Linked DNA regions of Bombyx mori. The protein of the gene in region 1 purifies or fractionates together with the protein of each later gene. This does not show direct contact. Links are inferred from orthologs where the notes say so. Each region holds a gene or a part of one and is shown in the gene's direction. Other genes may lie near its edges.

Region 1 (4,043 bases):
AATTTTGTCTAAAAAATAAAAATAAAAATTTAGGGGTGGACTACCCCTAACATTTAGGGGGATGAAAAATATATGTTGGCCGATTCTCATAGATACCGGATAAGCACAAAAAATTTCATCAAAATCGGTCAAGCCGTTTCGGAGGAGTATGGCAACGAAAACTGTGACACGAGAATTTTATATATTAGATTTCTTCTTTACTCCATTCACAAGTTTCTTTTTTTTTTTAGTTGTGTGGGAAACTAAGTGTGTATCTATGGTGGGAAATGAATGTTGGTGTTGGAGGGACTTTTTGGCGGGAACGCGAGGAGTGAAGTGGTGTGATTTGTTTTATTTTGTCTATTTAGTGTTTCTTCAGGTTTAAATATGTAATAACGGTGGCTTATTAACTGTTTAATATCTGTGAAAGTGCACAAAAGTGGGAAAATGAAACAAAGCTGCTGGACGTAAGTTCTCGGGTTCCTCTAAAAAGTCTACTGAAAAAATCTCAGTAAATGACCACCATTTTACTGAGATCATATTTCATCCCATATCATCAAATTTCATTTAATTTCATCTAAGTTGATTAATTTCTCAAATTAATCATCTTCATTTCATTTCATTTATCTCCATATTATCATTTTTCATAAAAATAAGAATATAAATTAAAATAAGACATGACTTAAAGGTCTTAGTTATGAGGTCATAAAATCCCTTAAAAAACAATTGGTGTTGGAGGTACTTTTGGCGGGAGCGCGAGGAGTGAAGTTGTGTGATTTGTTTTATTTTGTCTATTTAGTGTTTCTTCAGGTTTAAATGTGTAATAACGGTGGTTTATTAAATGTTTAATATCTGTGAAAGTGCACAAAAGTGGGAAAATGAAACAAAGCTGCTGGACGTAACTTCTCGAGTTCCTCCAAAAAGTCCACTGAAAAAATCTTAGTAAATAACCACCATTTTACTGAGATTATATTTCATACCATATCAACTCATTTCATTTAATTTCATCCCAGTTGATTAATGTCTCAAATTAATCATCTTCATTTCATTTCACTCCATAATAAAAAATTTATAAAAATCTGAATATAAATTAAAAAAAGACATGACCTAAAGGTCTTAGTTACCAGGTCATAAAATCCCTTAGAAAAATTTAAACGAAAGCAGAAAAAAAAACAAAATTGATTAATGATTTTATTCATTCGTTCACTCATTGATTCACTGTTTGGGTTTAAGGAAAAATCTCCAGAACATAAGGGCATTTTCGTTTGAAGATAAATAAATTTCACTTAATTGTGAACATTCAAATACTTGAAAAAACAAGGTAAATACTTCGCTATTTATAAATTGGAAAATGGCGTCTTATTCTCAGCCGTCGTTTTATGATTTACGTTCCCACCGCTCTTTTGTTCTAGATGCCAAATATTAAGTTGCAATCATCAGACAACGAGGTCTTCGTTGTTGATGTTGAAATCGCCAAATGCTCCGTAACTATCAAAACTATGCTAGAAGACTTAGGCATGGAAGAGGATGAAGAGGAAGTTGTACCTTTACCTAATGTCAATTCTGCAATACTCAAAAAAGTTATTCAGTGGGCTACTTATCATAAAGACGATCCTCCGCTACCAGAAGATGACGAAAACAAGGAAAAGAGGACTGATGACATATCATCATGGGATGCTGATTTTTTGAAAGTTGACCAAGGCACACTCTTTGAATTAATATTAGCTGCAAATTATTTGGACATCAAGGGTTTATTAGATGTCACATGTAAAACTGTAGCAAACATGATCAAAGGAAAGACTCCTGAAGAAATCCGTAAAACGTTCAACATTAAGAATGATTTCACTGCTGCAGAAGAAGATCAGGTTCGTAAAGAGAATGAATGGTGTGAAGAAAAGTAAACCATAATAAATGCTATTTGCAAGCATCTTTATGTATTATCACTATGTATGCAACATTAAACTATTTTTCCCATGGCAATAAAGAATAATTAATTTAAACCAAGTAAATTTGTTTGTGTTGTAAATTATATAAAAATAGGTACATCATGTCATTGTGATTTTCAATAAAATTTAAATTTTCATATTATCATTTAAATTACTTTTCATTTAACTTTAATTGTATTATATTTATTGGAAAATTTACTTTATGAAATAGAAATAATTAGCATAAATCACTGACTTAAATTTTTGTCATCTGCTTATTTTTTAACTAATTGTGTGGGTAGTCTTGATTGTGTCCAGAAATTGCCAGTATCCATTGCAATGTTAAACCACAAAAATAAGTTTGTCACCATCAATGTCAATACAAAAAGTAAATAAATATACAGTCACAACCGTTTACTGCGACATCATTTTGAGCAACATGCTGGTTATAATAACCTAGAACAAAGGTCCCGGCTGAATGCTATATGACCGCCTTATTAAAAACATTGCTTTATACGACATTGCTAATACCGACATACCTAATAAAATGACCACATTTAACTAATATTTCGGAGAATTAGATCTGTTAGAACGACCGGCTAAGCTGTATTGTAAACAATTTGAATAGGTATCCACATTTGTCTTCAATGGCTATTAAAATCAGGAAAGAAAACAATAGGATTTTGTTTAGTGTAGGGTCTTTTCTAATTCTTAGAAACAAAAATGTGTATGCGGTAGAGTCAAAGCCCACTTCTTCATATCTTTTCAGTTAGTTTGTTACTTATCTATACACAAGACACACCAAAACTTTGTGGAGTTATTCGTGAAACTTTCAAAATGTTGCAAAGAAAAAAAACAAATTAATAACAAAGAAAAATTGCGTTTTGTGTAAATATATTTTTCCAATAATTCACTATCGATTTGTTTGTACTTTGTTTGTACTTGCACGATACACATTAAACATCACTGGTTGTTACGACTGAATATGAGCAGTCCCTTCGATGTTGTTATAATAGATTTTCACTGTATATGTATGTATTTGATAACCACATTCCCTTAGTCAGTTCCTGATGCTAAGATAGAATTAAACCATCAGCATAACAAATGAAAATAATATATATGAAACAATTTTTTCCTCTTAGATATTTGTCATTAAAATTACTTTTAAAGCTTAGTATATGAACCCATAGTCAGAAATGTCCGTCTGCCTCTTTCAAAAGAAACTGGAAGTGAGTTCCAGCAATTTAATTTATATTGTGCTACATTGTATGCTATGTAAAACAAAATTTTAAAGGTGATTATTTTTTGTTGGATTGTAATTTTTATAATTAAAAAACTACTTTTACAGTTTATCTTGAGTATATTATTATCAATTTATAATTTCAGTTTCAAAATCTAACAGTTTTTGTGGTCATGGATAAGAGGTGCAAGTAAACTATAAAATTTGTAATGAAAAAAATCTTATTGGCAATTATTTATTGTTTACAATCATTATTATTTTAATAATAAAATATCATTACAAATGAAAAAAAATAATTAATAATAATTATCAATTATTTATTCTCTCCTTTTCATAGAACATAATGTTTAGGTCTCATAGTTTGTTTGACTTGGGGTTTCATGTAATAGTCAGATGATTACTTTTTTTCTGATCCAACCTTTTTTCCTTTTATTTACAATAGCTTCATGAGCTATTTATGGAATTAAGGATTGTTTAGGGTGTATTGAGCCATGTTAAATTTCACTATTAGCACTGTCCAGAGTATGTTAAAATAAATCAGACTTATGTTGGGTTTGACATCTGCAATATTTTCCTTAATTCGTAACTAAATGTGCGTGTTACTCCAATGCTATCCAATGTATGAGGTTGCTATCTTCTCTCTACCTCCCTTGATGTACAGCAGGAACAATATAGCAGTAAATAGAGCGACCGGTCGACGGTGTATCGCGTCCCGACCCGGCAGGCTGGTTTTGGTCCAGCGGGGTATTCCGGGACACCAGCGGCACCGTCTGGGCGGCCCGACGGGCTGCCGTACCGAGACGGCCGACGTTTCAGAGCCTTCGATTCGCCTCGAAGGCTCCGTCGGCTGGGCGTCCTTGGGGTTAGCCGCGCCGTCTGGTTGTAGTGTTGACCGCGGT
Region 2 (4,483 bases), on another chromosome or scaffold:
ATCAATCCATTCAGGAAACCTGTCATACAAAGGCCAAAGGTAAATGTATTGCAGACTATCCTAAAAAAAGTAATTATATTACAACATGATTAAAAACATTTCATTACATTACCATATGTGTATATGCTAATGTAATCTTAATTTTTTATGCTATATTCATCAATATATGTGAATAATAGACATAATTAAATTTACTTTTGTGATGTAATCTTGCAATTTTAGAGTCATTATATTATTTCTAACATTTTAAATAGTTTACAGTTTTTGTGATGACTAACCACTAAACTGTTATTTATTCAAATTTGAATATTGTGTTGGGAGTCATTTGGAAATATTATAATGACAATAAAAGTTTCAAGTTAAACCATAAAAGTAGTTTATAATTAATTTCTTATATCATCATTATTCCATGTTTTATTTATTTCTGTAACTACAAAGACAAATTATGAAATAATCACCGTTGTTATTATGTACAGTACTGTTTAAATGTAATACTTGGATGGAATTTTTTTGTAAATGCCAATCCTTCTTTTTGTTTTGGACTGGGCCCGATCCTCTTATGAGATAACTGGCTGTTAACGTCAATCCTAACTGTAGACTTTTTTATTTACTGGTAACAGTGCGATTTACCCACTATAAGCTTTATGTGTCCATTATTATTTCTCTTTGCTCTGCAGAATACAGTGTTCATTCAAACGTATAGCTCATCAATGTAATCAAATGCAAGGTTTTTTTAATTTTGCTGTACAGTTTACACTTTTTATTTAGATATTTCCTTACTAGTTTTTTTATTTTCAGCTTCCCAGGAGGATATCAACGTCTGGTATGGAAGAATGTGAAATATGTTTCTCAGTTTTACCAACCTCTGTAAGTTTGACAAATATTTTTAGGGCCTGAAAATGTTTTTCATTATCATTGATCTGTTGATGAATTCACGGCTAGCGTTAAGTGGTTGCGAGAACCCATAGATGTCTTGTTTCATGTCCTAATCTGAAGAAATGAGGTTGAAGTTTAACTTTGTATAAAGGCTACATTATTAATCAAATCAGAATGCATTGTTGACTTATGGCAGAAATAGAATCACTATATGAACAATGTAAACAAGCTCACTGCCCATCTGGTTTTAAATAGTGGCGAATACACATCACAATGTGAATTCCACCAGACACCTTTAGATATGTCGAAATCTTAATTATCCAATCCTTCAAGCTGAAAAGTCAGATGCCATATTATTATGCTTCATAGTAGAAACATAGAATGGTATCCTATAAGTGTGGGCTATAAGTGCCTATAAGTGTGTAGGGATCCACCCTACCTACAATAAATGACAGTGACAATGAGCGGTCACAGTATACTGACTGCTATGAAACTAGAAACACCGCTACTCATTCTCTGTGGAAAATGTTAGTTGGTACTGCTGGGTGTGGAAAGGAGGAGTTGGAGTGTTACTATTCTAGGCCACGCCCCTAATCTTGGTGGTTACTGCCGCTCACTGATACTGGTGATATCACTAGCAAAGTCAGTCACGAAACTATTGGAAAGGCTTAACACCGCGTAAATTAATGCTTGCTGAAAATACATAACCTCATTATTTTTTTGCACCTTTTAGTAACATCTCGGCAATGTAACACTTCTCACGCGTGGTACGGTAAATAAGTGATGATGGCCTCGTTTCAAACGGGGTCATTTTTAAGCCACACACGTGTATTTATCAATTTATTAAATTATCGAAGATTAGATCATAAATTTTGAAGGCGCTTAAAAGCCCTATAGTTATTGTTCATTTTCCAATTTCCATTTGATGAACATACGACATTATTTAAGTATATTTATATTAATTCTTTTACGTTTTCAGATTATGACTGGGTTGGAATGTGGTCACAGATTTTGCACGCAATGCTGGTGTGAATATTTAACTACGAAAATAATGGAAGAAGGCTTAGTGAGTAATCATGGATATGCTTCTCAGTGACTTGTGATTGTGTCAACTGTGTTACTACCGCTCTGTAGTTTATTGACCTAATATCCAGATAAGCGAAAACAGTACCTACGCATTTGTTTACCGTATTTTTTATCCTTTGTATTTTTTAATTATTTTTTTTTGTATTTCAGTATCGAATTGTTTTGTCTACTGGATTCAAGAAGGATTTTCTTGTATGAATTTACAGTATTACGATTTTGTTTCAGGGTCAAACAATAGCTTGTGCCGCTCACGCCTGCGACATACTTGTTGACGATGCGACCGTGATGCGGCTAGTACGAGACTCTCGTGTTAAACTTAAATATCAACACATTATAACGAATAGTTTTGTGGAGGTGATGATTTTAATTTATACTATCAAATATAGAGTGTATTGAAAACGTTCGGAAATGGAGAGGTTGTATCTGTAAACGTACAATCTCTTTTTTTATGAATTATGTTGCATTACTCATGATGTCTCTTTTTAAAATCGAAAGGTTTGTGCTGTATCTTCTCGCGAAATAAAGTGAGACGTTCTCCAAATGGCGTAAACAAACATTGCATAAAACAGTATTCATGTTCAGTTTCCTTTAAAGCCATCTCACTTCTTTATCTTATTAATTTTTCTTTCAAAGATGTTAAATTAATAACATTCTTTATCAATTTATCTTTAACATCTTTGTACATAACTTGTAATGTTGATGAGGAAATATCAACAGTAAAATAATATTACAAATTATAATGGACAAGAGAAATTTACGAGATAATATTTTTAAAATTATATAAATTATCGTTTTACTGGTGGTAGGACTCCTTGTGAGTCCACACGGGTAGATACCACCGCCCTGTCTATTTCTGCCGTGAAGCAGTAATGCGTTTCGGTCGTCCACCCGTCTAACCAATAAAAAAAAAAGTGTGGTGTCGTGGGACACCGGATAGGAACGAAGTTCCTTATTATATAAATATTAATTTAAAGTTCTATTCGAGGTATAAAGAAAATAAAACTGGAGGTTTCGCAACAACCCACGGCCATTTGGTAACGTGCGAACTTATTGTGGTACACTTCATTCACGGTTGTTTGCATAAGAGTTAGTGTATTGCGCAAACGAACGCTCTGAGATCGTGGTCAATGAATGATAAAAAAATTTAAGTCGTACACTGTGTGCATTACTAATAAAAATCTTACGTTACGGTCGTTTTTTCCCGGTTAGGGTACCCCTCCGCATCGTCCCATAAGGAACTTCGTTTCGAAAAAACCCCACAATTGGATGCCATATTATTAAAGATAGATGTTTTTGTTTTTGTACTGAAGAGTATGAGCAATAAAGAGTATTATTTTGTAACGTGGTGTCCGCGTCGACAGTGCAACCGGCTGCTGCGCTGGTGCCCGTCCCCGGACTGCAGCAACGCGATCAAGGTGGCGTACGTGGAGGCGGCGCCGGTGACGTGCCGCTGCGGACACACGTTCTGCTTCGCCTGCGGAGAGAACTGGCACGATCCGGTCCGGTGCTGTTTACTGAGGAAGTGGATTAAGGTCAGTGATCCTGAAAATCTACGGAGGGACTTTGATTTCCTCTGTATTTTGTAAAATATGTTCCGTGGGGAGCGCTCTGCAGGGACGTCTTAAACTAGGATGGGGCCCTTGGGCACACAAGAATTTGAGGCCCTTTTGGAAAGTAAAAAAAGCGAATTATAATAACATTTTTTTACTGAGTATGACCATTTATTATAGGTAATCAAATACAGTATGATATAATATGTCATTAATGATATTAGAATGCTGCTGGTTTTTTGGTTACGATTTCGATAACGGTTTCTTTCGGGGTGTCTGTTGAGCAAAATCTTCTATTATAGGCATAGTATATCTTGTAATTCTGATTACTGATTCTGAAAAAAGGGTAAGATGCCCGAGAAAAATGTTTTGAGAATAAGCGTGTGAGATTAATTTTCGGTCTTTCGGGGCCCCCTGAGAATGGGGGCCCTGGGCACGGGCCCCGTGTGCCCTTATGGTAAAGACGGTATTGGTGCTCTGAGGAATTGTTTGAGACTTGTGGAGAGTATTAAGCGGTGGGCACCGGCCTGGTTTGGCATTGCTGAAGTCCATGGGCGACGGTTACCACCACCATCATCAGGTGTATGTATGCTCGTCTGCCTACTAAAAGGTAAATAAAAAAAAATGATAAAGATAAATTTATTGGCTTCGCCTGCGTTTATCTATCTATTGTATGTGTCAACGGAACTTTTCTACGTAATTTTTGCCAACTTCAAAACGAGTGATTAACTTGAAAATTTGCACACATGTCAAGAACCGATAACAATAAAGTAGTTTTGTTATTTTAGCTTAAAGACTGATCACCAGGATTTTGAAAAAATCTATATTTTTTTGTTATTTAAACGTATTTTTTTTAGGTTTTGAAACATTTAATTTCAAAATGTTTAAAACTAGATCAACTATAAAGACAAAAGAATGTGTTAATATTAGGTAACTATAAAAAAAAAGTATATAATAAAATACAGAGAGAA
Region 3 (4,483 bases), on another chromosome or scaffold:
TTGGTGGAGTAAAATTGACCAACCTCCGATACGCCGACGACACCACTCTTCTCGCGGCTAATGAAAGCGAGATGGCTGCTCTCATGAGCAAGCTTGAAAAAATTAGCCTCGAACTTGGTCTTGCCATTAACCGATCCAAAACAAAAGTGATGGTAATAGACCGCATGAACAAACTGGAGCACACGGGGTCACTGCATCTTGAAAAAACAGAAAGATTCATATACCTGGGCTCCATGATTGCGAATACTGGATCGTGCGAGCCTGAGATTCGAAGACGTATCGGGATAGCAAAAACTGCCATGTCTCAGCTTGATAGCATCTGGTCCGATAGAAACATCTCCATAAAAACCAAGCGTAAACTTGTAACAAGTCTTGTGTTTTCTATTTTCTTATATGGGGCGGAGACATGGACTCTGAAGAAGGCTGATCGAAGTCGGATCGACGCGTTTGAGATGTGGTGCTGGAGGAAAATGCTGCGGATTCCCTGGATGGCGCATCGGACAAACGCATCAATCCTGGAAGAACTAGGCGTCTCCTTAAGACTCTCCACCATTTGCCTACGTAGGATCTTAGAAAGTGGAAGGAAAGAGGCCTAGGGGGCGTAGTCCCATGCGCTGGTCCGATCAGATTAAGACGACTTTGGAATCCAGCATCAATGTCGCTATCCACTGCGCGGAGGACAGAAGTGAATGGAAGAACAAAGTCCTGACAAAAGTGCTCAGTAAAGGTCACGACCCTCAGAACTGAGGAATACGACGCACGGAGGAGGACTTTGAACTTGATGTGGTTGGAAGTCTCGGTAATTCATAACATGGATCTCGTACAGAATCATCACTAGAGAATTCAAGTACAGAATAGTATGTTAAACTACTGACTTGACCTGATGATGTTGACAGTATAGGATCGTCTACTACTAAGTTCTCTGTGTTCAAAATCGACTGTTGATTTACATTTTCTAAAAAAGGACAAGGCAATTATCTATTTATAATGATATAATATTGATATAATTACGTAATTTGCAAATCATAATTTTGAAGATATGTGAAAATATACCTTCATTGCTTTCCAGATGAGTGGATAACGCCATTTCAACTAATTTCTTGCCTCTTTGAATATTCATCTTAAATAATTAAAATACTTAAGCACTCACACACAACTAACTAACACAACTAACTAACCAACAAACTGTGCACAATCGACAACATTAGTAAATTAAAACCACTTACCGAAGTATTGTTTACGTTATAAATATTTTTAAGTAACTACTTTCTCTAAAGAAATGTTACATTTTGATGTTCTTTATAACGTAAGTCAGACTTCTTACGTTAATAACTTTGTACTTATGGTGTTCCTTAGAACATAAGTCCAGTTATGTTTTTTAGTTCGTTTGATTATATTAGGATTTAATAAGGTTGATACAGAACGCCGCTTGAATACACCATGAAATACTCGAGTTTGATTTATGTGCTTTAGTCAGATTGTGTGTTGAGCAAAATGTAAACCGATGATGTAATAAAAAATAAATTGAAAATTTTGACTTATGTGCTTTAGTCTGCCGACCCTAGAATTAAACATGATAAATGTTGTGTAAAATCTTCTTATGAAATCTATTCTTAGAACACATTTGTACTAAAATTTCAGATTTTCCTACAAATATGTTCATTTTTGGATGCATATTTTCTCAAAAATACACTCAGTAAGGTGTGTCTACGGTTTTGTGACATACTAGCCGACGATCAACTATGGAAGCATTGGGTACAGAATAAAATTAAGGGAAAATTTCCCCCAGTAGGTGATTTAAAAAAATGGAATGTTGATCCTGCAGACTGGCAGGATTTATATATTGCAATGGAAGTAGAAAAGAAAACTTGGTGTAATGTTGAAGAAACCATGAAACATATGGTTGTAAAAGATGTACATTTTGCATCAGTTGATGCTGTGTTGTTAGTGAATGTAAGTTGCTAATCTTGATTGAAAATTAATATATTTTTAATTTTTTATGGCCTTAGCAAGCAGTTTACAGCTTATGAAAAGGGGTTACTGCCACAGTGGGTCATGATTCCGATTGAGTGATAGATTCTGCAGTACTCTTGCCTGAGCTAGTGTTGGCAAATTCTCAGGTTGAGCTAGTGAGCTCACCTACCTGTCTGGGCGTATCTAGAATACCCTCTTAGGCTACCAGTGAATAGGTAGGAGAAAAAAAGGCACACTTCAGGATTGATTTTTACTATAATACTACTATCAACATGTAATAGATTATGTGTTAGTTATTTCAATATATTACTATACTTAAAAAACTAGCAATTATAATTATATATAGTTTATTATTAGCATAGTCAATGTTTTAATTGTACTAACACATGATGCATTACGATATCTGAAAATAAAGTAATGTAAAAAAAGTAAAATAAAGCAGGTATTCATAACTTATTGTTATATTTAAACTAAGATAGATAGAGAAGCTCTTGTTTCATTGGTTATATGGATGGATGGATGAGCTCACTCCACCCCTGATGTTAAGCGGTTATATCAGCAGCTACTGAAATCAAAACATAAATGCTGCCACCCACTTTGAGACATGAAACATTAGCATGTAATGAAACTGAAACACATTACCGTTTCACAATAGAAATCATGGCATCAGTAAAAACTCACGACACAACTGTGATATCCCAATATGAATTCTGCAGTTCACCTAGAGATGTTTGGATTAACAGATGATGATGAAAAAATAATAATTGGATATTGATCTGCTTATAATGTCACTTAATTGTACCAATTTTAAAAGTTTATGTTTGAATTTCAGAATGGAGAATTGTGTATATCAGGAGGTAGGGATAGAGGAATGGCGTTGTGGAATGTTTCGGACATTAGTGCAAAAAGTGAAACAAATGACGGAGTAACATCACTAACGGACACCAAACCAAAACATTTAAGACATGATGCTCATGCAGGCTGGGTATGGGACTTGGCAGCAGATGTTGTGAACTCCGCTTCCAAAGTTTATTCTGCATCTTGGGATAATACTGTGAAAGCATGGGACTTAGCTACTGGATTTCAGTGTATCCAAACATTTCAGTAAGAATATTATAAAAAGTATTTTTATCTCCTGTACTAATTAATATTGGAATGTGAATCAACAGGCTTGAATAATGTAAAAACGTCTTTGATCAAAAGCCTAACACTAATAATAACTGTGTTGTCTTACACACTAACAATAAATAATGTAAGAAAATGTGTCTGGAGTAATAAATAATGTAAATTAAAAAGTAGAAAATTGCACATTAGTTGATGTTAACAGGGTCATGCATGATTTGTTTATTGCTACTAATAATGGTGGACGAGCTCATTACCCACCTGGTTCACCTGGTTAAGTGGTGACCTGAGTTCACAGATATCAACCCTTACCTTGCCTACCTTGTTAATACTGCCTTGCCTACCTTGAGACATGAGTGCTAAGTCTCAGTTTTTACTGTATAATGGGCTCCCCACCCTTCTAGCTAAAATGCATGATACCTACCCGGTGATGGTACCTACCCGTGTGGGTTCACAAGACGCCCTATCATCAGTAAATGATTCCATGGGTCGCTTGTTCTAATTATGTTACATTCCCTGCAGTCTTGAAGATATTGGTAAATATGTAGAGTGTATCAATTGTGATTTTATTTTTATAATAATAATACCAGGAATCACAGTTGAAAATTTAGTTTTTTGTATGTAATTTAAAAATAGTTTTTAATTGAATTCATTATTTACCGTCAATCTATACATATAAATAAAATTGAAGTGTCTGTTTCTAATATTGAAATAACCGCTTTTTACTACATGCATATGAATACGGTACATACACCCAAATAACATTTTTTACAATTTTTGTCTGTTGGTTCCGGCTAATCTCTGGAACGGCTGGACGCTGAGATTTTGACGAGACTTTCACTGATAGGTAGCTGATGATATAAGGAGTAACTTGGGCTACTTTCTTTAGACTAGCTTCGCCCCGCGGCGTCAATACGACAATAACCGTGGGTAACATCGCGGGACTCAGCTATCAATTATAAAATTTAATGTTTCCGAAACGAAGCGAGGGCGGGTCGATAGTTTAAACTAAAATCATTCCTTCTCACTACAACACCCTCTGTTGCTAGTTTTCTGACAGGCACTTGAGCGTAACGAGACGCTCCGGCAACGCAACGGATTCCTCATTTAGCTAGTCAAAGGATGTCCAAGCTACTTAGTCTTTATTGCCCTTTTCGAATCCCATATTTCCGTTATCCAAGCATAGAGATACTTTTGTTAGGCGAGAGGTCGAAGTTATTACATTTGGCATTTGGACTAGTTTAAACCAAATTATTTAACATATTTTGTTTATAAAAGATCGGCTTTTAGAAGACGTGTGGTTTTCGCTATTTCTTGTATTCTCAAATTGGGTCAGTCATTTACATTGGAAAAAAATATATAATTTTATTCACTCCACTTTGTATGA

What was found. Proteins that work in one complex are often made in the same cells at the same time.
Region 2: the proteins of S-phase kinase-associated protein (region 1) and E3 ubiquitin-protein ligase ariadne-1 purify together in Homo sapiens (affinity purification with mass spectrometry; 4 studies listed by BioGRID and IntAct, with this or other methods). This does not show direct contact. The link is inferred for Bombyx mori from reciprocal best matches to the Homo sapiens genes SKP1 and ARIH1.
Region 3: the proteins of S-phase kinase-associated protein (region 1) and F-box/WD repeat-containing protein 9 purify together in Homo sapiens (affinity purification with mass spectrometry; 6 studies listed by BioGRID and IntAct, with this or other methods). This does not show direct contact. The link is inferred for Bombyx mori from reciprocal best matches to the Homo sapiens genes SKP1 and FBXW9.

The regions. Positions count from the first base shown.
Region 1 is NC_085119.1:7,149,960-7,154,002, forward strand, and holds S-phase kinase-associated protein, read left to right. Parts: upstream 1-1,153; 5' UTR 1,154-1,300; intron 1,301-1,391; coding exon 1,392-1,880; 3' UTR 1,881-2,560; downstream 2,561-4,043. UniProt on the Homo sapiens protein: Essential component of the SCF (SKP1-CUL1-F-box protein) ubiquitin ligase complex, which mediates the ubiquitination of proteins involved in cell cycle progression, signal transduction and transcription.
Region 2 is NC_085127.1:9,587,203-9,591,685, reverse strand, and holds part of E3 ubiquitin-protein ligase ariadne-1, read left to right. Parts: coding exon 1-39; intron 40-798; coding exon 799-867; intron 868-1,855; coding exon 1,856-1,942; intron 1,943-2,187; coding exon 2,188-2,316; intron 2,317-3,323; coding exon 3,324-3,494; intron 3,495-4,483. UniProt on the Homo sapiens protein: E3 ubiquitin-protein ligase, which catalyzes ubiquitination of target proteins together with ubiquitin-conjugating enzyme E2 UBE2L3.
Region 3 is NC_085111.1:14,057,389-14,061,871, forward strand, and holds part of F-box/WD repeat-containing protein 9, read left to right. Parts: intron 1-1,641; coding exon 1,642-1,953; intron 1,954-2,806; coding exon 2,807-3,078; intron 3,079-4,483. UniProt on the Homo sapiens protein: Substrate-recognition component of the SCF (SKP1-CUL1-F-box protein)-type E3 ubiquitin ligase complex.